Linked DNA regions of Anolis sagrei. The protein of the gene in region 3 interacts with the protein of the main gene of each other region in a pairwise test. Links are inferred from orthologs where the notes say so. Each region holds a gene or a part of one and is shown on either strand. Other genes may lie near its edges.

Region 1 (7,062 bases), on a different chromosome or scaffold from region 3:
ACATCTAATCACCTTTCAAGAAGAGTTTGCTCCAGGCACTGTCAGCCCATTGTATGCTAATCAAGGTGGTCAGTTGAAAAGATTCACACCTAGCCCAACTTACAAAAGCCTTTTGTCTCACCCTGGTCATTCCACAGATATATAAACCCCCTTTTCCCAGCTCCAGCAGACCTCTGAGGATGCTTGCCATAGATGCAGGCGAAACGTCAGGAGAAATGCCTCTAGAACATGGCCATATAGCCCGAAAAAATCCACAAGAACTGCATGAATGAATTCCTATGCACACTGCACATATCTTATTTGTAGTGCAAAAGACATTTAAAAACAATACAATAATTAAAATGAAGAACAATTTAAACAAATATAAACTTATTAGTATTTCAATGGAAAGTGTGGGCCTGCTTTTGGCTGATGAGATAGGGTTGTTGTTATTGTTGTGTGCTTTCAAGTCATTTCAGACAGGTTGACCTTGAGCGAGGGCTGGGTAAATGACCTTGGAGGGCCGCATCCGGCCCCCAGGCCATAGTTTGAGGACCCCTGGTGTAGATGAAGCCAGAGAGTAGTGTATAATGTCTTATTGAAGAGCTTTGGAAAATGTCTTCTAACATTTTGACTGGACCTAATAAAGACACCAGATGGCTGTGGGTTCCACACAGTTTCCCATTCATCAGTCAGTCTAGGTAACAAATCATGTGAATTATCCGTGCATATAAATAAGGCCCCTTCTAACTGCCATATAAAATCCAGGTTGTCTAATTTGAACTGGATTAAAAGGCAGTTTAGACTCATATAATCCAGTTCAAAACAGAGAATTTGGATTTATATTTAAAGACCTGCATGGTTTGGGTTATATTGCCATATTATCCGGGTTATCAAAGCAGATAATCACATTATCGGCTTTGAATTGGATTATATGAGTCTACACTGCCATATGATCCAGTTCAAAGCAGATAATCTGAATTTTGTGTGGCAGTATAGATGGGGACTTAGTGTCTATTTTACTTTATTTCAACTGGGAGATTTCATGAGGGAGTCTGTGGGGAAGGGCGATTTATTTTAGTGTCTGTTTTACTTTAACTGGAAGGTTTTGAAGTTGTAAAAAAATTAAAAGGGGGTTGTGAGAACCATCTGTCCAATTGGCCATACATCAGCAAAATCCTGGAATAGGTGGTGGCCAGACAACTCCAGGGGTTGTTGGAAGTTACTGATTTCTTAAACTCATTTCCATCTGGCTTCAGGCCTGGAGATGGAACAGAGATGACTTTGGATGATCTACATGGAGAACTATATAAGAGGACTGTGATCTATTTGGTTCTCCTTGACCTCTCAGTGGCTTTTGATATCATCGACAATAGTATCTTTCTGGAAGGACTGATAGGAATAGGCCTGAGAGGCACTGTTCTGCAGTGGTCCCAGTCCTTTCTCTCAGACTGCAGTCAGAAGGTGGTGCTGGGGAAGCCCTGTTCAAACTATGGCTGTTGGACTGTGGGGTCCCGCAGGGCTCATCACTTTCCCTATGTTATTTAACATCTACATGAAACCGCTGGGAGAGATCATCTGGAGTTTTAGAGTTCAGTATCACTTGTATGAAGATGATGCTGAACTCTACTATTGCTTTTCACCAGATAATACCATGAAAGCTGTGCTGCGATTAAAACCAGTGCCTCAAGGCAGTAATGGGCTGAATGAGGCTAAACAAATTGAAACTGAATCCAGACAAGACAAAAGTACTACTGGTCTCATGTAGGATGAATCCGGGAATAGGGGTACAACTCCAGAGCTGGACTGGGTTACATTCTCCCGAAAGCTCAGGTTCACAGTTTGAGGGTATTTCTGGATTGCTCTTTAAACCTGGAAGCCCAGGTGGTGGAGGTTCCCAGGATCATCTTTGCACAACTCAAACTGGTGAGCCAACGGTGGGCATTCCTAGAAAAATCTGACCTGGACACTTTGGTACATGCCTTGGTTACATTCCACCTGGATTACTGTAATGTGCTCTATGTGGGACTGCGTTTGAAAACAGTTCGAAAACTTCAATTTGTTCAAAAATTGGCAGCCAAGTTGCTAATGGGAGCAGATATAAGAGAATGTACTATCCGCTCCTGAAACAGCTGCATTGGTCCATGCCTGAGTCACATCTCGTATAAATTACTACAATGCAGTCTACGTGGGGCTGCCTATGAAGACAGTCTGGAAGCTTCAAATAGCTCAAAGATCTGCATCCAAACTGCTGACCGGAGTGGACTGTAGGGAATATATGACCCCCCCCCCTCTTGAAGCAGCTCCATTGCTTGCTGATCTGCTTCTAGGCCCTATTCAAAGTGCAGGTTATTACCTACAAAACCCTATATAGTTTGGGTACTACCTATTTACGTGATCACATCTCTCCTGATAAACCTGTTCAGGCCCTAAGATCAGCCGAGGACGCCCTCCTCTCAATTCTACCTCCCTCACAAGTGAGGTCGGTGGGGACAAGGGAGTGGGCCTTCTCGGTAGTGACCCCCCAACTTTGGAATGCCTTCCCCAAGGAAATTAGACAAGCACTAACCCTCAAAACTTTCAGGAAGGAGTTGAAAACCTGGCTATTTAAGCAGGCTTTTGATAATGGCTAAGACTATCAACCACCTTATCGGACAGGACTTTAAATGGTAATTAGAACTATAATTTATAATGCTGGATACCCCGATCATAGGAATTGGCTGGTTTTAAACAGTGTTTATATAGATACTGTTTTTAGTGGGCGAAATGTTGCAAATTGGCCACCTTGATTAGCATTAAATGGCTTTGCAGCTTCAAAGCCTGGCTGTTTCCTGCCCAGGGAATCCTTTATTTCACAGATATATAAACCTCATTTGCCTATTTTCCAGCAGACCTCACAACCTCTGAGGATGCCTGCCATAGTTGTGTGTGAAACGTCAGGAGAGAATGCTTCTGGAATGTGGCCATACAGCCCGAAAAGCTCACAGCAGCCCAGTGATTCCAGCCATGACACATTAAGGTAAAGGCAAAGGTAGTCCCCTGACATTAAGTCCAGTCATGTCTGACTCTGGGGTGTGGTGCTCATCTCCATTTCTAAGCCGAAGAGCCAGCGTTGTCCGTAGACACCTCCAAGGTCATGTGGCCGGCATGACTGCATGGAGCGCCGTTACCTTCCCGCCGGAGCGGTACCTATTGATCTACTCACATTTGCATGTTTTTGAACTGCTAGGTTGGCAGGAGCTAGGGCTGACAGCGGAAGCTCACACCGCTCTCCGGAATCGAACCTGCGACCTTTCGATCAACAAGCTCAGCAGCTCAGTGCTTTAACCCACTGCGCCACCGGGGGCTCCGCAGTGGCTCCATGACACATTATCTGGGTGGTTTTTAAGGTATTATATTGGGGGTTTACATAGTGTTCCACACTAATTATACATTAGTATAATTTGTGTGAAATAACATAATATGTATGGGTTTAACTTGGTTTTAATTTTCATATTGTATGTTTTTACTGCCTGTGAGCCGCCTTGGGCCCTTGACTGGGGAAAGGCGGGGTACCAAATTCATAAATAACAACAATAAATAGCATAGGTTGTTGTGAGGGCGCCTGTCGTCATGGTGACACCCTCTGTCGCCATGGTAACATGCTCTCCCTCACAGGGTGGTCGTGAGACCCTTGAGGAGGGAACACAGGCCACACCTCGATGGCACTGACATCTTTTTTGGCACAATCAATACACATGGGCCCTTGGGAGCATCCTCTTTGTCTTGGCCGACCCACCTGAAGCTCGCTCCCTGCCCTATACGAAGCTAGGACCACAAAGAGGAGGGAGCCCCCCGCAAAGGCCGCCAGCAGCCGGAACCCGGAAACGGAGGGGACCCCCATAGCCAGGCAGCCCGCAGCCCGCTCTCCAGGAGTTCTGCGCATGCTCAGCCACAGAGAACACAGCCCGGAGAGCGAGGCACCTCGGGAAATGGAGTCCTTTTCTCCACCTCTCAAGCCAAAGAAGGGGCGTTGCAGACTACAACTCCCATGCAGCAACAGGAGAGGGGAGAGCTGGAGAAGACTTTGAGTCCAGGGGCCATCAGAGGGCCAGGCGTGTCGATAAAAGGGATTTGCTTCACCCTAAGGCTGTTGATTGATTAAGGACACAAAGGTAAACACAGGAAGAGGCTTTTCCGTGGCTTTGGGTGCATCCACACTGTAGAATTAATGCAGTTTGGAATCACAAGAGCTGCAGTTCCTCCATATCTTTAGCTTTCCCTGCCAAAGAGGGCTGGCGCCAAACTATAGTCCTCATGATTCCATAGCATGAGCCAGGGCAGTGCAAGCGGTATCAAACTGCGTTAATTCTACAGTGTAGATGCCTCCTTAGGTCACTTTCCTGGCTCACTTTGGAAATTTACATTTATGTTGCATTTGACTCGTTTTTAAAAAGTAATTCCCTGCTGTCCATCTCAAAAAAAAAGCCGACATTATTGAGTAATAATAGCTATTTTGGAGCTTCATCTGGCTTTGCTGCTAGGTGGACTTACTTACTTCCTTCCTTCCTTAGGACCCTTTCAGATAGACCCAATATCCCAGGATCTGATCCCAGGTTTCCGCTGTAACTTCAGTTTTATGAGTCTGCACTGCCAGATAATCTGGGATGAACAGAAAAGCTGGGATCAGGTCCTAGGATTGAGATTGATTTCATTGGGATTGATTTCTTGTTGCATTATTTTGTTTTGTTTTACTTTGCTTAGTTTTATTGTATTCCTAAGTTGTTTTGGGAGCCCCCGGTGGCGCAGTGGGTTAAAGCAGAGAGATGCTGAGCTTGTTGACTGAAAGGTCACAGGTTCGAATGCGGGGAGCGGCGTGAGCTTCCGCTGTCAGCCCCAGCTTCTGCCAACCTAGCAGTTCAAAAACATACAAATATGAGTAGACCAATAGGTACTGCTCCGTCAGGAAAGTAATGGCGCTCCATGCAGTCATGCAGGCCACATGACCTTGGAGGTGTCTGTGGACAATGCCGGCTCTTCGGCTTAGAAATGGAGATGAACACCACACCCCAGAGTCGGCCACAACTGGACTTAATGTCATGGGACAACCTTTACCTTAAGTTGTTTTGCTTTTATAATGTATTTTACTGTAATGTATTTCCATTCTTGGCCTCATGTAAGCCTCCCCGAGTCCCTTTGGGGAGATGGTGGCGGGGTATAAATAAAGATTATTATTATTATTTGAAACACAACAAGATGAGTCCACAGCAGACACTCTGCTGGCTGTTGTAGTGGATTACACGTCGGGCACTTCCCAGGTGATGTATTGGTGAATAATGCATTCAGATCCCAGTAAGGTGGCCTTCTGCAGCTAGCAGATGGTAATTGTGTCAGCTCCGATTGTGTTTAAGTGCAGGCCAAGGTGTTTAGGCACTGCACCCAGTGTGCTGATCACTGGGACCACCTTGACTGGCTTGTACCAGAGTCTTTCCAGTTTGATATTTAAATCCTCATATCGTGTCAGCTTTTCCAGTTGTTTCTCTTCAATCCTGCTGTCACCAGGGATTGCAACATCGACAATCCATTATTATTATTATTATTAGGATATAGGGCCTGCTTGGAAGTGCCCTAGATCTGTGCTCCAAAAGGGTTTATAATCCGAAACAGGCAATTTATGCCCCATTACACTGCCCTATAAAATCCATATTATCTGCTTTGAACTGGATTATATGGCAGTGTAAATTAATCTAATACAGTTAAAAATAGATAATCTGGATTTTATATGGAAATGTAGATGAGGCCATAGGTAATATCGGAAGGAGAAGTGGTTGGGAGGTGTGAATGTAAGTTAATACATAAGTGGTTTTAATAACACTATGTAACATGGGTTTGTTCCTGGGTTATAAATGTCATTTCCTAATTGGGTCTATCACAACAACATGGGAAAAGTTTATTAAACTGCCAAAACTTTGTTTGTGTGGGAGATCCTGCTGCACATTTTGCTCTAGTTTTTCATTGAATCTCAACCAGTTCAGCATAGCTTGTGGCAGCCACAAAAACGAAATTCCTGGAGTAGAACAACTACTTTCAAAGTAAGCACCATGCAGTTAAACAGGAAATAACACTTTCAAACCAGAGACAGAAAATGTTTCAAATTTTGTTACATAATGTAATCGAAAAGAAAGGCTAGACTTGTGTGTGGTACGAAAGCAGAGTGAGTGGAAAGAGATAGTAAGCTATTTTTAAAAACTCAGTAGAGTTCATGCAGACATGAGCAACTAAAGGCTGCTTAAGAAGCACAAACTGTTGCTGGGTGAGGCAAAGTAATGAAGCACCCTTCCATCTGTATCTGCAGGACATATATGTCTCTATTTGTGTGTACTAAGACATACAACTAAGAATAGATGCTGTAGTGAAAATGGATTGTGGTGATCTTTTCCCTTTCAGTAAATTAATCAACTTGGCTGGGTATAGGAGTTTGACTAAATCCTGCTCAGCTTTGTTTTATTCTAGAACAGTGTTTCTCAACCTTCCTAATGCCGCGACCCCTTAATACAGTTCTTCATGTTGTGGTGGCCCCCAACCATAGAATTATTTTTGTTGCTACTTCACAACTGTAATTTTGCTACTGTTATGAATCATCATATAAATATATGCAGGATGTATTTGATACAAATATGCGATATGCCCATATTGGGGGGGGGGATAATTAATTTTGTCATTTGGGAGTTGTGGTTTCTGGGATTTATAGTACACCTACAATGAAAGAGCATTCTGAACTCCACCAATGAGGGAATTGAACCAAACTTGGTACACAGAACTCCCATGACTAACAGAAAATACTGGAAGGTTTTGGTGGGCATTGACCTTGGGTTTTGGAGTTTTAGTTTGGGAAAAAGAGGCCTTGACATTTGGGAGCCGTAGTTGCTGGGATTTACAGTTCACCTACACTCAAAGTGCCCCTTGAATCCCACCAATGATAGAATTGGGCCAAACTTCCCACATAGAACCCCCATGATCAACAGAAAATACTGCAGGGATTTGGGAGGAATTGACAGTGAGTTAGGAGCGATGTAGTTCACATACCTCCGGAAAACACTGTGT
Region 2 (8,009 bases), on a different chromosome or scaffold from region 3:
GCCCCCTCCATGGCTGAGGCCTTCTCCGCTCGCCTCCTGCGCCCGCCGCCTTCGGGGGACGCCAGAGGCGACTGGGAGGCCCCCTCCATGGCTGAGGCCTTCTCCGCTCGCCTCCTGCGCCCGCCGCCTTCGGGGGACGCCAGAGGCGACTGGGAGGCCCCCTCCATGGCTGAGGCCTTCTCCGCTCGCCTCCTGCGCCCGCCGCCTTCGGGGGACGCGAGAGGCGACTGGGAGGCCCCCTCCATGGCCGAGGCCTTCCCCGCTCGCCTCCTGCGCCCGCCGCCTTCGGGGGACGCGAGAGGCGACTGGGAGGCCCCCTCCATGGCTGCAGCCATGAAAGAGGCCTTCTCCGCTCGCCTCCTGCGCCCGCCGCCTTCGGGGGACGCCAGAGGCGACTGGGAGGCCCCCTCCATGGCTGAGGCCTTCTCCGCTCGCCTCCTGCGCCCGCCGCCTTCGGGGGACGCCAGAGGCGACTGGGAGGCCCCCTCCATGGCTGAGGCCTTCTCCGCTCGCCTCCTGCGCCCGCCGCCTTCGGGGGACGCCAGAGGCGACTGGGAGGCCCCCTCCATGGCTGAGGCCTTCTCCGCTCGCCTCCTGCGCCCGCCGCCTTCGGGGGACGCCAGAGGCGACTGGGAGGCCCCCTCCATGGCTGAGGCCTTCTCCGCTCGCCTCCTGCGCCCGCCGCCTTCGGGGGACGCCAGAGGCGACTGGGAGGCCCCCTCCATGGCTGAGGCCTTCTCCGCTCGCCTCCTGCACCCTCCGCCTTCGGGGGACGCGAGAGGCGACTGGGAGGCCCCCTCCATGGCTGAGGCCTTCTCCGCTCGCCTCCTGCGCCCGCCGCCTTCGGGGGACGCCAGAGGCGACTGGGAGGCCCCCTCCATGGCTGAGGCCTTCTCCGCTCGCCTCCTGCGCCCGCCGCCTTCGGGGGACGCCAGAGGCGACTGGGAGGCCCCCTCCATGGCTGAGGCCTTCTCCGCTCGCCTCCTGCACCCTCCGCCTTCGGGGGACGCGAGAGGCGACTGGGAGGCCCCCTCCATGGCTGAGGCCTTCTCCGCTCGCCTCCTGCGCCCGCCGCCTTCGGGGGACGCCAGAGGCGACTGGGAGGCCCCCTCCATGGCTGAGGCCTTCTCCGCTCGCCTCCTGCGCCCGCCGCCTTCGGGGGACGCGAGAGGCGACTGGGAGGCCCCCTCCATGGCTGAGGCCTTCTCCGCTCGCCTCCTGCGCCCTCCGCCTTCGGGGGACGCCAGAGGCGACTGGGAGGCCCCCTCCATGGCTGAGGCCTTCTCCGCTCGCCTCCTGCGCCCGCCGCCTTCGGGGGACGCCAGAGGCGACTGGGAGGCCCCCTCCATGGCTGAGGCCTTCTCCGCTCGCCTCCTGCGCCCGCCGCCTTCGGGGGACGCCAGAGGCGACTGGGAGGCCCCCTCCATGGCTGAGGCCTTCTCCGCTCGCCTCCTGCGCCCGCCGCCTTCGGGGGACGCCAGAGGCGACTGGGAGGCCCCCTCCATGGCTGAGGCCTTCCCCGCTCGCCTCCTGCGCCCTCCGCCTTCGGGGGACGCGAGAGGCGACTGGGAGGCCCCCTCCATGGCCGAGGCCTTCCCCGCTCGCCTCCCGCGCCCGCCGCCTTCGGGGGACGCGAGAGGCGACCTGGAGGCCCCCTCCATGGCTGAGGCCTTCTCCGCTCGCCTCCTGCGCCCGCCGCCTTCGGGGGACGCCAGAGGCGACTGGGAGGCCCCCTCCATGGCTGAGGCCTTCTCCGCTCGCCTCCTGCGCCCGCCGCCTTCGGGGGACGCCAGAGGCGACTGGGAGGCCCCCTCCATGGCTGAGGCCTTCTCCGCTCGCCTCCTGCGCCCGCCGCCTTCGGGGGACGCGAGAGGCGACTGGGAGGCCCCCTCCATGGCCGAGGCCTTCCCCGCTCGCCTCCTGCGCCCGCCGCCTTCGGGGGACGCGAGAGGCGACTGGGAGGCCCCCTCCATGGCTGCAGCCATGAAAGAGGCCTTCTCCGCTCGCCTCCTGCGCCCGCCGCCTTCGGGGGACGCCAGAGGCGACTGGGAGGCCCCCTCCATGGCTGAGGCCTTCTCCGCTCGCCTCCTGCGCCCGCCGCCTTCGGGGGACGCCAGAGGCGACTGGGAGGCCCCCTCCATGGCTGAGGCCTTCTCCGCTCGCCTCCTGCGCCCGCCGCCTTCGGGGGATGCCAGAGGCGACTGGGAGGCCCCCTCCATGGCTGAGGCCTTCTCCGCTCGCCTCCTGCGCCCGCCGCCTTCGGGGGACGCCAGAGGCGACTGGGAGGCCCCCTCCATGGCTGAGGCCTTCTCCGCTCGCCTCCTGCACCCTCCGCCTTCGGGGGACGCGAGAGGCGACTGGGAGGCCCCCTCCATGGCTGAGGCCTTCTCCGCTCGCCTCCTGCGCCCGCCGCCTTCGGGGGACGCCAGAGGCGACTGGGAGGCCCCCTCCATGGCTGAGGCCTTCTCCGCTCGCCTCCTGCGCCCGCCGCCTTCGGGGGACGCCAGAGGCGACTGGGAGGCCCCCTCCATGGCTGAGGCCTTCTCCGCTCGCCTCCTGCACCCTCCGCCTTCGGGGGACGCGAGAGGCGACTGGGAGGCCCCCTCCATGGCTGAGGCCTTCTCCGCTCGCCTCCTGCGCCCGCCGCCTTCGGGGGACGCCAGAGGCGACTGGGAGGCCCCCTCCATGGCTGAGGCCTTCTCCGCTCGCCTCCTGCGCCCGCCGCCTTCGGGGGACGCCAGAGGCGACTGGGAGGCCCCCTCCATGGCTGAGGCCTTCTCCGCTCGCCTCCTGCGCCCGCCGCCTTCGGGGGACGCGAGAGGCGACTGGGAGGCCCCCTCCATGGCCGAGGCCTTCCCCGCTCGCCTCCTGCGCCCGCCGCCTTCGGGGGACGCGAGAGGCGACTGGGAGGCCCCCTCCATGGCTGCAGCCATGAAAGAGGCCTTCTCCGCTCGCCTCCTGCGCCCGCCGCCTTCGGGGGACGCCAGAGGCGACTGGGAGGCCCCCTCCATGGCTGAGGCCTTCTCCGCTCGCCTCCTGCGCCCGCCGCCTTCGGGGGACGCCAGAGGCGACTGGGAGGCCCCCTCCATGGCTGAGGCCTTCTCCGCTCGCCTCCTGCGCCCGCCGCCTTCGGGGGACGCCAGAGGCGACTGGGAGGCCCCCTCCATGGCTGAGGCCTTCTCCGCTCGCCTCCTGCGCCCGCCGCCTTCGGGGGACGCCAGAGGCGACTGGGAGGCCCCCTCCATGGCTGAGGCCTTCTCCGCTCGCCTCCTGCGCCCGCCGCCTTCGGGGGACGCCAGAGGCGACTGGGAGGCCCCCTCCATGGCTGAGGCCTTCTCCGCTCGCCTCCTGCACCCTCCGCCTTCGGGGGACGCGAGAGGCGACTGGGAGGCCCCCTCCATGGCTGAGGCCTTCTCCGCTCGCCTCCTGCGCCCGCCGCCTTCGGGGGACGCCAGAGGCGACTGGGAGGCCCCCTCCATGGCTGAGGCCTTCTCCGCTCGCCTCCTGCGCCCGCCGCCTTCGGGGGACGCCAGAGGCGACTGGGAGGCCCCCTCCATGGCTGAGGCCTTCTCCGCTCGCCTCCTGCACCCTCCGCCTTCGGGGGACGCGAGAGGCGACTGGGAGGCCCCCTCCATGGCTGAGGCCTTCTCCGCTCGCCTCCTGCGCCCGCCGCCTTCGGGGGACGCCAGAGGCGACTGGGAGGCCCCCTCCATGGCTGAGGCCTTCTCCGCTCGCCTCCTGCGCCCGCCGCCTTCGGGGGACGCGAGAGGCGACTGGGAGGCCCCCTCCATGGCTGAGGCCTTCTCCGCTCGCCTCCTGCGCCCTCCGCCTTCGGGGGACGCCAGAGGCGACTGGGAGGCCCCCTCCATGGCTGAGGCCTTCTCCGCTCGCCTCCTGCGCCCGCCGCCTTCGGGGGACGCCAGAGGCGACTGGGAGGCCCCCTCCATGGCTGAGGCCTTCTCCGCTCGCCTCCTGCGCCCGCCGCCTTCGGGGGACGCCAGAGGCGACTGGGAGGCCCCCTCCATGGCTGAGGCCTTCTCCGCTCGCCTCCTGCGCCCGCCGCCTTCGGGGGACGCCAGAGGCGACTGGGAGGCCCCCTCCATGGCTGAGGCCTTCTCCGCTCGCCTCCTGCGCCCGCCGCCTTCGGGGGACGCCAGAGGCGACTGGGAGGCCCCCTCCATGGCTGAGGCCTTCTCCGCTCGCCTCCTGCACCCTCCGCCTTCGGGGGACGCGAGAGGCGACTGGGAGGCCCCCTCCATGGCTGAGGCCTTCTCCGCTCGCCTCCTGCGCCCGCCGCCTTCGGGGGACGCCAGAGGCGACTGGGAGGCCCCCTCCATGGCTGAGGCCTTCTCCGCTCGCCTCCTGCACCCTCCGCCTTCGGGGGACGCGAGAGGCGACTGGGAGGCCCCCTCCATGGCTGAGGCCTTCTCCGCTCGCCTCCTGCGCCCGCCGCCTTCGGGGGACGCCAGAGGCGACTGGGAGGCCCCCTCCATGGCTGAGGCCTTCTCCGCTCGCCTCCTGCGCCCGCCGCCTTCGGGGGACGCGAGAGGCGACTGGGAGGCCCCCTCCATGGCTGAGGCCTTCTCCGCTCGCCTCCTGCGCCCTCCGCCTTCGGGGGACGCGAGAGGCGACTGGGAGGCCCCCTCCATGGCTGAGGCCTTCTCCGCTCGCCTCCTGCGCCCGCCGCCTTCGGAGGACGCGAGAGGCGACTGGGAGGCCCCCTCCATGGCTGAGGCCATGAAAGAGGCCTTCCCCGCTCGCCTCCTGCGCCCTCCGCCGTCGGAGGACGCGAGGGGCGACTGGGAGGCCCCTTGCATGGCTGACGCCTTCTCCGCTCGCCTCCTGCGCCCTCCGCCTTCGGGGGACGCGAGAGGCGACTGGTAGGCCCCCTCCATGGCTGAGGCCTTCTCCGCTCGCCTCCTGCGCCCTCGAGCCTGTGAAGGGGCGAGGGTCTCCCAGCCGTCTTTCCCCTGTCCAGGCAGCAAAGAAGGCTCTTCAGAAACTGAAGGTAGGACAAATCTAATCTTTTGTTAATACCTCCCCCAAATCCCTCCAATATTTTCTGTGGGTCATGGAAGTCCTATATGCCAAGTTTGGTTCAATTCTATTGTTGGTGTAGTTCAGAATGCTCTTTGGTGCCTGGTGAACTATAATTCACACAATTGCAATTCCCAAATGTCAGGGTCTTTTTTTCCCAACCCCTCCAGTATTTTCCGTGGGCCATGAAAGTCCTGTATGCCAAGTTTGGTTCAATTCTATTGTTGGTGTAGTTCAGAATGCTCTTTGGTGCCTGGTGAACTATAATTCACACAAGTGCAATTCCCAAAAAGTCAGAGCTGAATCGGTTGGCGGTAATTCCAATCCCTTCATCCATTGTCCATACTCCCCCAATCATACTGTTTTTATCATTAATCACTATGCTTTAATTATGTTCAATTTGTAACAATGGAAATACATTCTGCATATCAGATGTTTACATTACAATTCATAACAGTACAGTTATGACGTAGCAACAAAAATATGGTTGGGGGTCACCACAACATGAGGAACTATATTAGGGGTCATGGCATTAGGAAGGTTGAGAACCACTGGTCTAGAGGCATTTTCTCCTGACGTTTCGCCTGCATCTATGGCAAGGATCCTTAGAGATAGTGAACTCTGTTGGAAGTAGGAAAATGGGTTTATATATCTGTGGAATGACCAGGGTGTGACAAAGGACTTTTGTATGCTGGAACTAGGTGTGAATGTTTCAACTGACCACCTTGATTAGCATTTAATGGCTTGGAAGTGCCTGGGGGAATCTTTTGTTGAGAGGTGATTTGATGTGCCTGATTGTTTACTCTCTGTTGTTTTGCTGTTGTAATTTTAGAGGTTTTTTTAGTACTGGTAGCCAGATTTTGTTCATTTTAATGGTTTCTTCCTTTCTGTTGAAATTGTCCACATGCTTGTGGATTTCAGTGGCCTCTCTGTGTAGTCTGACATGGTGGTTGTGAGAGTGGTCCAGCATTTCTGTGCTCTCAAATAAAATGCCATGTCCAGGTTGGTTCATCAGGTGCTCTGCTATGGCTGACTTCTCTGGTTGAAGGAGTCTGCAGTGCCTTTCTTGTTCCTTGATTCGTGTTTGGCCAATGCTGCTGCGTTTGGTGGTCCCTATGTAGACTTATCCACAGCTGCATGGTACACAGTAGACTCCTGCAGAAGTGAGAGGGTCCCTCTTGTCCTTTGCTGAACGTAGCATTTGTTGGATTTTCTTGGTGGGTCTGTAGATAGTTTGTATGTTGTGTTTCCTCATCAGCTTCCCTATGCGGTCAGTGGTTCCTTTGATGTATGGCAAGAACACTTTTCCTCTGGGTGGATCTTCATCTCTACTCTCGTGTCTTGTTCTTGGTCGTGCAGCTCTTCTGATGTCTGAGGTGGAGTATCCATTGGTCTGTAGAGCCCAGTTGAGGTGGTTCAGTTCATCTTGCTCAACTTAAATCACCCTGGCAGAGTGATTGAAGTTGAGCGGCAGCATTCTCTTAAGTGTTCTGGTGACCTCATAATGTTGTAGAAACATTCTAATCTGGCTGAGTTTTCTGTGAGCCTTTAAAAGCACTGGGACAAGTGACCTGTCCAGCTAAGGTCCTCTCTTAAATATTGACCCTTCCTCACCAAGGAGGAAGAAAAGAATGTCTGGGGAGAGAGAGTGGTTGAAAAGAATTCAGGAAGAAAATGCACACCTGAAAAATCAGATCAGGCTGTTTAAAGAAAACTACGAATTACGCTTATTGTTGGGTCAGCAGGGCAACCATGTCCAGTCATCAGCACCTCAGAATCCTTCTGTGTATCCCGAACCCGGTTCAGTGTTAAAAGGAGGTGAGAAGTAACCCTTTTGATTTTCTCAAAGCAGTACCTATCAAGCTTTCAATGAAGAATTTAAAAGCCAAAGAATATAGAAATGGCGGCAGTGCCATTGGTGCCACTTGTCTATAGTCAAGGTTCAAACCAATGGCCCACACGTATGAGTTGAATGCTACAATGCCTAGGAAGTAAGTCCCATCAATCAACATACATTGGTTGGGCTGTGAATAATCTGAGGGATCATTGCTCACTTTTGGCGTTATGATTTGAAACGATCTTAAAGTTTGGATATTTAATAAAACAATAATGTTTATGAAATTAAATTTCAATAAAATAATGACATCACAACTGTGAAAGCAAAGAAAACAAAATACACACAGGATTAAAACACAGAAAACAGATACAGGGCATAGGGTTACAGCCTGTGCTGGATGGGGTCGCACTCCCCCTGAAAGCGCAGGTTCGCAGCTTGGGTGTGATCCTGGATTCATCGCTGAGCCTGCGGTGACCAGGGGAGCATTTGCACAGCTAAGGCTCGTGCACCAGCTGCGCCCGTACCTTGGGAAGTCTGACTTGGCCATGGTAGTCCACGCTCTGGTTACATCCCGTTTAGACTACTGCAACGCTCTCTACGTGGGGTTGCCTTTGAAGATGGCCCGGAAGCTTCAATTAGTCCAACGTGCGGCAGCCATGTTACTTACAGGAGCGGGACGCAGGGAGCACACAACCCCCTTGTTGTACCAGCTCCACTGGCTGCCGATTTGCTACCGGGCCTATTTCAAGGTGCTGGCGTTGGCCTATAAAGCCTTAAACGGTTCCGGCCCAAGATACCTATCCGACCGCATCTCGACCTACGAGCCCACCAGGACTTATCTTCCGGGGAGGCCCTGCTCTCGATCCCGCCTGCTTCACAAGCACGGCTGGCGGGGACGAGAGATAGGGCCTTCTCGGTGGTGGTCCCTCGGCTGTGGAACACCCTTCCCCTGGACAGGCTCCTTCCCTGTTGATATTCCGCAGAAAATTAAAAACCTGGTTGTTCAAGAAGGCGTTCGAACAAGAAGTGCAATGATTGGTAATGACTATAGGAATGGAATAACGGAAATGATATGGGATTGTGGTTTGGACGATGAGACGACGCTGAATGGTTTCGTAGTAATGACAATGTTTTG
Region 3 (7,528 bases):
CTGGCGCACAAGGAGATTGCCAGGACTCAAGATGTCAGCTGAAGTCACAGGGAACTGCTGTGCTTCTCTGTATCTCAGATAGGAAAGCCAATATCACAGCATACGATACTGGAAGAAAAGACCAAACCGTGTCTGTTGTCAAAGGCTTTCATGGCCAGAATCACTGGGTTGCTGTGAGTTTTCCAGGCTGCCTGGCCATGTTCCAGAAGCATTCTCTCCTGACATTTCATCCACATCTATGGCAGGCATCCTCAGAGGTTGCGAGGTCTGTTGGAAACTAAGCAAGTGAGGTTTATATGTCTATGGAATGTCCAGGGTGGGAGAAAGAACTCTTGTCTGTGTGAGGTAGGTGTGAATGTTGGAACTGGCCATCTTGATTAGCATTTCATGGCCTCTCAGATTCAAAGCCTGGCTGCTTCCTGCCTGAGGATATCCTTTGTTAGGAGGTGTTAACTGGCCCTAATTGTTTCCTGTCTGGAATTCCCTTGTTTTCTGAGTTTTGCTTTTTTTTTTTACTATCTTGATTTTATAGATTTTTAAATACCTGTAGCCAGATTTTGTTCATTTTCATGGTTTCTTCCTTTCTTTTGAAATTGTCCACATACTTGTGGATTTCAATGGTTTCTCTGTGTAGTATGACATAGTGGTTGTGAGAGTGGTCCAGCATTTCTGTGTTCTCAAATAATATGCAGTGTCCAGGCTGGTTCATCAGGTGCTGTGCCATGGCTGACTTCTCTGGCTGAATAAAGAACAACACTCAGAAAACAGGAGAATTCCAGAGTGGAAACAATCAGGGCCAGATAACACCTCCCAACAAAAGATTCCCCCAGGCAGCAACCAGCCAGGCTTTGAAGCTGCAAGGTTATTCAATATGCATGGGCAATCCATGGTTCCAAATGGTCCTAAAGTACTTACAAAACTAGGGGGCACTGGTGCTTTGCTTCTAAAGTGTTGCTAAAGTTCTGGTGATGAAAATATCAGAACTCCAACAACACTTTCAAAATTTGGTTATAAATGGCAGTTCCTAATTGGTTCGGTCATAAAAATCGCCAATAATGAAATAATAATTAAATTTTGGAAGTTTTGTTAGAGTTCTGAAATTTTCACCACTAGAACTTTAGCAACACTTTAGAAGCACAGCACCAGCTTTAGAAACACTTTAAAAGCAAATCATCAGCGCTCTCGAGTTTTGTAAGTACTTTAGAACCATTTAGAACCATGGATTGCCCATGCCTACTATTAAATGCTAATCAAGATGGCCAATTGCAACATTCACACTTGCCTCAAACAGACAAGAGTCCTTTCTCCTATCCTGGACATTCCATAGATATAGAAACCCCACTTGCCTAGTTTCCTACAGACCTCACAACCTCTGAGGATGCTTGCCATATATGTGGGCTAAACGTCAGGAGAAAATGCTTCCAGAACATGGCCATACAGCCTGGAAAACTCACAGCATACAGTGTTTGTTTGTGAGATGGTTTTGAAGCCTGAGCACCCTTCCCTCTCAATTCCCAGCCCAAGCCAGGGTTTAAACATGTTAACTTGTGTGTCGAACCCCCAGTGGTGCCATGGGTTAAACCCTTGTATCAGCAGGAACTGCTAACCGACAGGTCAGCAGTTCGAATCCAGGGAGAGCGGGTTGGGCTCCCTCTGTCAGCTCCAGCTCCTCATGCAGGGACATGAGAGAAGCCTCCCACAAAGATGGTAAATAACATCAAACATCTTGCTGTCCCCTGGGCAACATCCTTGTAGATGGCCAATTCTATCACACCAGAAGTGACTTGCAGTTTCTCAAGTTGCTCCTGATACAAAAACAAAACAAAACAAAAAACCCTTGTGTCGTACTTGTGCAAAAAAAATGTGTCTAGTAAACTGATGATGATATATCCCCATCAATGAATATGGTACTGTACAAAAGTATCCCCCACCCACCCTCCCTACGGTTGCAGATTGAAAGAATATAAAACAGTGGGCCTTTCTGGAGAGTTCCTTTAGGTGCCTATCATTATACTTACTGTTCCAAACTCACCATTGCAAAGGAGAGAATATAATACACTGCATTTTGGGCTGATCTTATTGCTCAGCAAGAAGTAAAGAAAGCAAAAGACGAGCCTCAAGCAGCCAGAGGCGGCTCCAGGTAATTTTCAACGGTAAGCAAACAGTATTCCCCCCCCCCCCCAACTAATCACTGATATATATATTCTGTTCGTTGTGGGAGTTCTGTGTGCCATATTTGGTTCAGTTCCATCATTGGTGGAGTTCAGAATGCTCTTTGATTATAGGTGAACTATACATCCCAGTAACTACAACTCGCATATGTACGGTCTATTTTCCCCAAAGAGCACCTCAAGAGCGCCCCTGGACAAAATCAACTATACTGCAAATGCTTACTTCGCGTAATGGGTTGAGCTGCCCCTGCAAGCAGACAGGGGTAAACTTGGAGCTAGAAATAGAGCTGCAATCACACGTGAAGCAATGACCAAGGTTTGAAAATTGTAGCCCTAGGAACCTTCATTTTAGAAGTCCACAAGATGGCCTTCCAGTTAAACCAGCTTTTAAAAAAAAAAAAACTCAAAAGAACCATTAAATAGCATTGTGAACATAAAGCGACAACACCACATTTCAGAACATGCACATTCTATTTATTGACCATTTACGCAAGGAAGTGCTTTCATATTTACTTATTCCCTTCTTTCGAGCTGCAGTTCATTGAGAAAGAAATCACTGGGCATTTACACCTTAAGGAAGAATGTGTAAAAACAGTTGAAATTAAATTTTGTTTACCCAGCTTTCCAAACATTGATGCAAAGTAGTGGAGAGATACTGCATTCTAGAATAAATTAAAAGACTGATAATATTGCTGTTCAAAAACTTTCTATTTAAGTATCAATGATTGATCATTCTACTTCTATCCCAACAATAACAAAACCTCCTATTTTTCCTAACAAACCTGAATTTTTCATTCGGCAGCCATTCCCTGCTAGCTTTCGACTTCTGAAACCGAAGCCTCACTGCTGTAACTCTAGACGGCTGCTTATCCTAAGCGTAGCATGCATGCGATGAGCAAGAAGAACAAATATAGCCTGGCACCAGCTGTCCTTCAGCAGATGACTTCTTGTGTGTCAGGGAGGAGAATGTCAGACCCAAACAACTCTGGAGAAAAGTTGGGGTTAAAACAGTCATGGGCAAACTTCGGCCCTTCAGGTGTTTGTGACTTCAACTCCCATAATCACTAACAGTCAGTAGGCTGTTAAGAATTATGGGAGTTGAAGCCCAATAAACAGATAGGAAGATACCCTTTGTGTTGAGTGATTTAAATGTCCATAAGTCCTAACATCCCAGATGGCCTGGCTCTTTGCCTTCCGAAGTCTCGTCTGATTTTATTTATCATGTCATCAGCAACCATACCATTGTATTACATATCTAACAGAACAAAACAAACAAACAGATTAAAAAAACCACAAAAAAACCAAAATACAGATTTTGCCAACTTGGTAGTTGATTAAATGTCCTTTGACCAGTATCTGGCCACTTGGAGTGCCTCTGGTGTTGCCGCAAGAAGGTCCTCCATCGTGCATGTGGCGGGGCTCAGGTTGCATTGCAGCAGGTGGTTAGTGGTTTGCTCTTCTCCACACTCGCATGTCGTGGACTCCACTCCGGCGAGTGTCTCTGTAGATCTAAGAAAACTATATCTTGATTTAAGTCGTTGACGTGCTGGCTGATACCCAAACAAGGGATGAGCTGGAGATGTCTCTGCCTTGGTCCTTTCGCTATCGGCTGGTGCAATACCGGCTAGACAGTGTAATTTCTCCAGTGGTGTAGGGCGCAGAAACCCCGTGATAATGCAGCATGTCTCATTAAGAGCCACATCCACTGTTTTAGTGTGGTGAGATGTGTTCCACACTGGGCATGCATACTCAGCAGCAGAGTAGCATAGCGCAAGGGCAGATGTCTTCACTGTGTCTGGTTGTGATCCCCAGGTTGTGCCAGTCAACTTTCGTATGATGTTGTTTCTAGCGCTCACTTTTTGCTTGATAAGAACCATTTATTTATTGTCCATGCAGTGAGTCTTGGTTGAGTCCTTTGTTTACGGATTTACTGGCCCAGGAAATTGGGAAAGCTTCCTGGAGCCATGAGGTGCTGGTTTCATGAAAACGGTGGCTTTTTCCTACATTTTTCAAAATATAGACATACATACACATGAGGAATGAGCAATAGGTTGGGGAATATGAAAGGAATTCATAAGGGGAAATCATGTAGGGTCTAAGGCAGTGTTTCTCAACCGTCCTAATTCTGCGACTCCTTAATACAGTCCAACCATAACATTATTTTGCTACTTCATAACTGTAATTTTGCTCCTGTTATGAATGGTACTGCAATTATCTGATAAGCAGGATGTATTTTCACTGGATCAAATTTAGCACAAATATCCAACATGCCCAAATTAGAATAGTGGTGGAATTGGGAGGAGGGAGGATTGATTGATTTTGTTACTTGGGAGTTGGAGTTGGTGGGATTTATAGCTCACCTACAATCTGAACTCCACCAATGACGGAATTGAACCAAACTTGGCACACAGAACTCCCATGACTAACAGAAAACACTGGAAGGGTTTGGTGGGCATTGACCAATGGTGGATCTGGACCAAACTTGGCACAAACACTCAATATGCCCAAATGTGAACACTGGTGGATTTTGGGGGAAATAGACCTTGACATTTGGGAGTTGTAGTTGCTGGGATTAATAATTAACCTACAATCAAAGAGTATTCTGAATCCCACCAACAATCGAATTGGGCCAAACTTCCTATACAGAACCCCCATGACCAACATAAAATACTGTGTTTCCTGATGGTCTTTGGTGACCCCTCTCACAGCCCCTGGTGACCCCCTCAGGGGTCCTGACCCCCAGGTTGAGAACCACTGGTCTAAGGGCAAATCATGTCAGCTGTCTTTCCCCCCCCCCCCCCAAAGTCCATCAACATTCATAAAAGTTTGAGAAGGTTATTAAAAGTCCATAGGGGTTTGGCAAAGAGTTCATGGGAGTTCCAAAGAGTCCTCAAAAGTTGATAAAAGTACTCAAAGTTCCCAAAAATTGGTGAAAGTTGGCAAAAGTTCATAAAAGTCCTTCGAAAGTTCATGGGAGTTGGAGAAAAGTTTATGAAAGTTCATGGGAAATTGGTGACAGTCCTGGGAGCACTAGAGGTTGGAATGCACTCATTGGAAAGGAAGAAAAAATTACAGATCCAATTCATAGAAGGGCAGAGCGGCCTGCCAGAGATCTGGGGGTCCCAAGGGGTGACCTCAAGGGACTCTCCTGGGGTCAACAGGCTTCTGGACGCACATAAAATGGAAGCAGAACATTGTTGCAGTGTGGAGCCATGGATTGGAGCCAGCTGGACCCAACATGAGGTTTTTGGGACAAAATTGGTTTTCCTGGGGTACAGAGGTCTGTTATGCTAAAAGTAAGATAGCAGTGGGTTGTTGTAGGGTTTTTTGGGCTATATGGCATGTTCTAAAGGCATTTTCTCCTGACGTTTCACCTGCATCTATGGCAAGCATCCTCAGAGGTAGTGAGGTCTGTTGGAACTAGGAAAAAGGGTTTATATATCTGTGGAATGACAAGGGTGGGACAAAGGACTCTTGTCTGCTGGAGCCAGGTGTAAATGTTTCAACTGATCATCAGTAAGATAGCAGTTAGTCTTAGAATTAGTCTAGCAAAAAGATGGCACTGGTTTAGAGCCGATCCGTTGACCCGCAGATATGGGGGCCCAATGGGTTTCCGTATCTGCGGTTCAGAGGAACACAGTTTTGGCCTCCCTGGGACGCTGTAAGAGCATCCCAGGCGAGTCAGCAGGGATATGCGGCTCAGGAAAGGAAAGTTTTATGCTAGGCTTGGGCGGTTTCATTCATTAATTTCGTAATTTGTTATTAATTTGTATTTAAATTAGCTTACGATCCAATATTGAGCCATGCAGGAATAGTGTGAGGAGTAAATTAGATTCGAAACAATTTTTTCAATTTATTTCGTAATTATTTCGTAATTATTTCAAAATTATTTCGTAATTATTTTCGCATGTCTGGTGCAAGTTTTATAGTTGTTGTTTGTTTTATCACACCAACTGTCAACAACAGAGGGAGAGGGAAGCTTCAGAAGTTCCCTCTGTCCCATTTGGAGGGTTTTTTTAGCGTATTGCGCAATCGCGTCCACCATTAACGAATCGATTCGGAATTTTACGAAATTTCGTAAATTTTGAAATTTTTAAAAGCAAAATTTCGGAATTCTTTAAAAAAACGAAACGCGATGGACCCCTAAAAACGAAGTGAGTTTAGAAACAAATTTTTTCTGTTGTTACCCAAGCCTAGTTTATGCTTGTTAATGTTTGAGATAGTAAAAGGACACGATGTATCACTATGAAGAGGAAAAGTGAGTAAAAAGGATACTTCTTTATTAGGGGTTGTTACATTGAAACAGGGGAGTTCAGTTCAGTGAGGAAAAGGGAAGACATAGGTCCTTGCTGTTGGAGCTGCTGCAGGAGCCACAGTCCTTGAAGGGGCCCGAGGCTGTTAGGAATTGTGGGAGTCCAAAACACCTGGAGGGCCCAAGTTTGCTCATGCCTTTTATTTATTTATTTATTTCACAGTTTTCTATACCGAGCTTCTCAACCTCATTGAGGGACTCAGCCCGGTTTCCAGCCATAAAAAACATATACACTCATTAAAATATCATATATCACAATTACAAAAACAACTTTAAAAACACTATATATAAAACTACAGTGGTCAGTCGTCCTATTAAGATGGATCTACATCAGCTTCCATCCAGGGTCCTTTGGTGTTGTCTCATTCATCGAAGGCCTCACTCCACAGCCATGTCTTCACCCGTTTCCTAAATGTTAGGATGGATGGGGCAGTTCTGGCCTCCAGAGGGAGAGAGTTCCAGAGTCGCGGGGCCACCACCGAGAAGGCCCTGTCCCTCATCCCCACCAGCCGCACTTGTGAGGCCGGTGGGACCGAGAGCAGGGCCTCTCCAGATGATCTTAGTAATCTTGATGGTTCGTAGGGGAGAATACGTTCGGAGAGGTAAACAGGGCCGGAGTCGTTTAGGGCTTTATAGGTCAACACCAGCACTTTGAATTGTGCTTGGAAGCTAATCGGCAGCCAGTGGAGCTGGCGTAACGGCGGAGTGGTGTGCTCCCTGTACCCAGCCCCCGTTAGTAATCTGACTCCCGCGCGTTGGACTTGCTGCAGCTTCCGGGCAGTCTTCAAAGGCAACCCCACGTAGAGAGCGTTGCAGTAGTCTAAGCGGGATGTAACCAAAGCGTGTACTACTGTGGTCAATTCAGCCCTCCCAAGGTACGGACGCAGCTGGCGCACAAGTTTTAATTGTGCAAATGCTCCCTTGACCACCGCTGAGACCTGGGGTTCCAGGCTCAGCGATGAATCCAGGAGAACTCCCAGACTGCGTACCTGAGCTTTTAGGGGGAGTGTGACCCCGTCCAGCACAGGCTGTAACCCCGTACCCT

What was found. The genes of interacting proteins can lie anywhere in the genome.
Region 1: the proteins of FSD2 (region 3) and ESD interact in binary tests that used the Homo sapiens proteins (3 or more experiments, as listed by UniProt). The two-hybrid records come from large-scale screens. The link is inferred for Anolis sagrei from reciprocal best matches to the Homo sapiens genes FSD2 and ESD.
Region 2: the proteins of FSD2 (region 3) and SPATC1L interact in binary tests that used the Homo sapiens proteins (3 or more experiments, as listed by UniProt). The two-hybrid records come from large-scale screens. The link is inferred for Anolis sagrei from reciprocal best matches to the Homo sapiens genes FSD2 and SPATC1L.

Annotation. Positions count from the first base shown.
Region 1 is NC_090021.1:140,294,630-140,301,691, forward strand, and holds the start of ESD (S-formylglutathione hydrolase), read left to right. Parts: upstream 1-4,000; 5' UTR 4,001-4,133; intron 4,134-7,062. Other genes in the region: NHLRC3 (NHL repeat-containing protein 3), read right to left, coding at 3,758-3,904.
Region 2 is NC_090021.1:163,078,355-163,086,363, forward strand, and holds the start of SPATC1L (speriolin-like protein), read left to right. Parts: upstream 1-5,008; intron 5,009-6,187; exon of another isoform or gene 6,188-6,655; 5' UTR 6,656-6,668; coding exon 6,669-6,855; intron 6,856-6,886; exon of another isoform or gene 6,887-7,009; coding exon of another isoform or gene 7,010-7,028; intron 7,029-8,009.
Region 3 is NC_090029.1:32,404,400-32,411,927, forward strand, and holds the start of FSD2 (fibronectin type III and SPRY domain-containing protein 2), read right to left. Parts: upstream 3,070-7,528; 5' UTR 2,954-3,069; intron 1-2,953.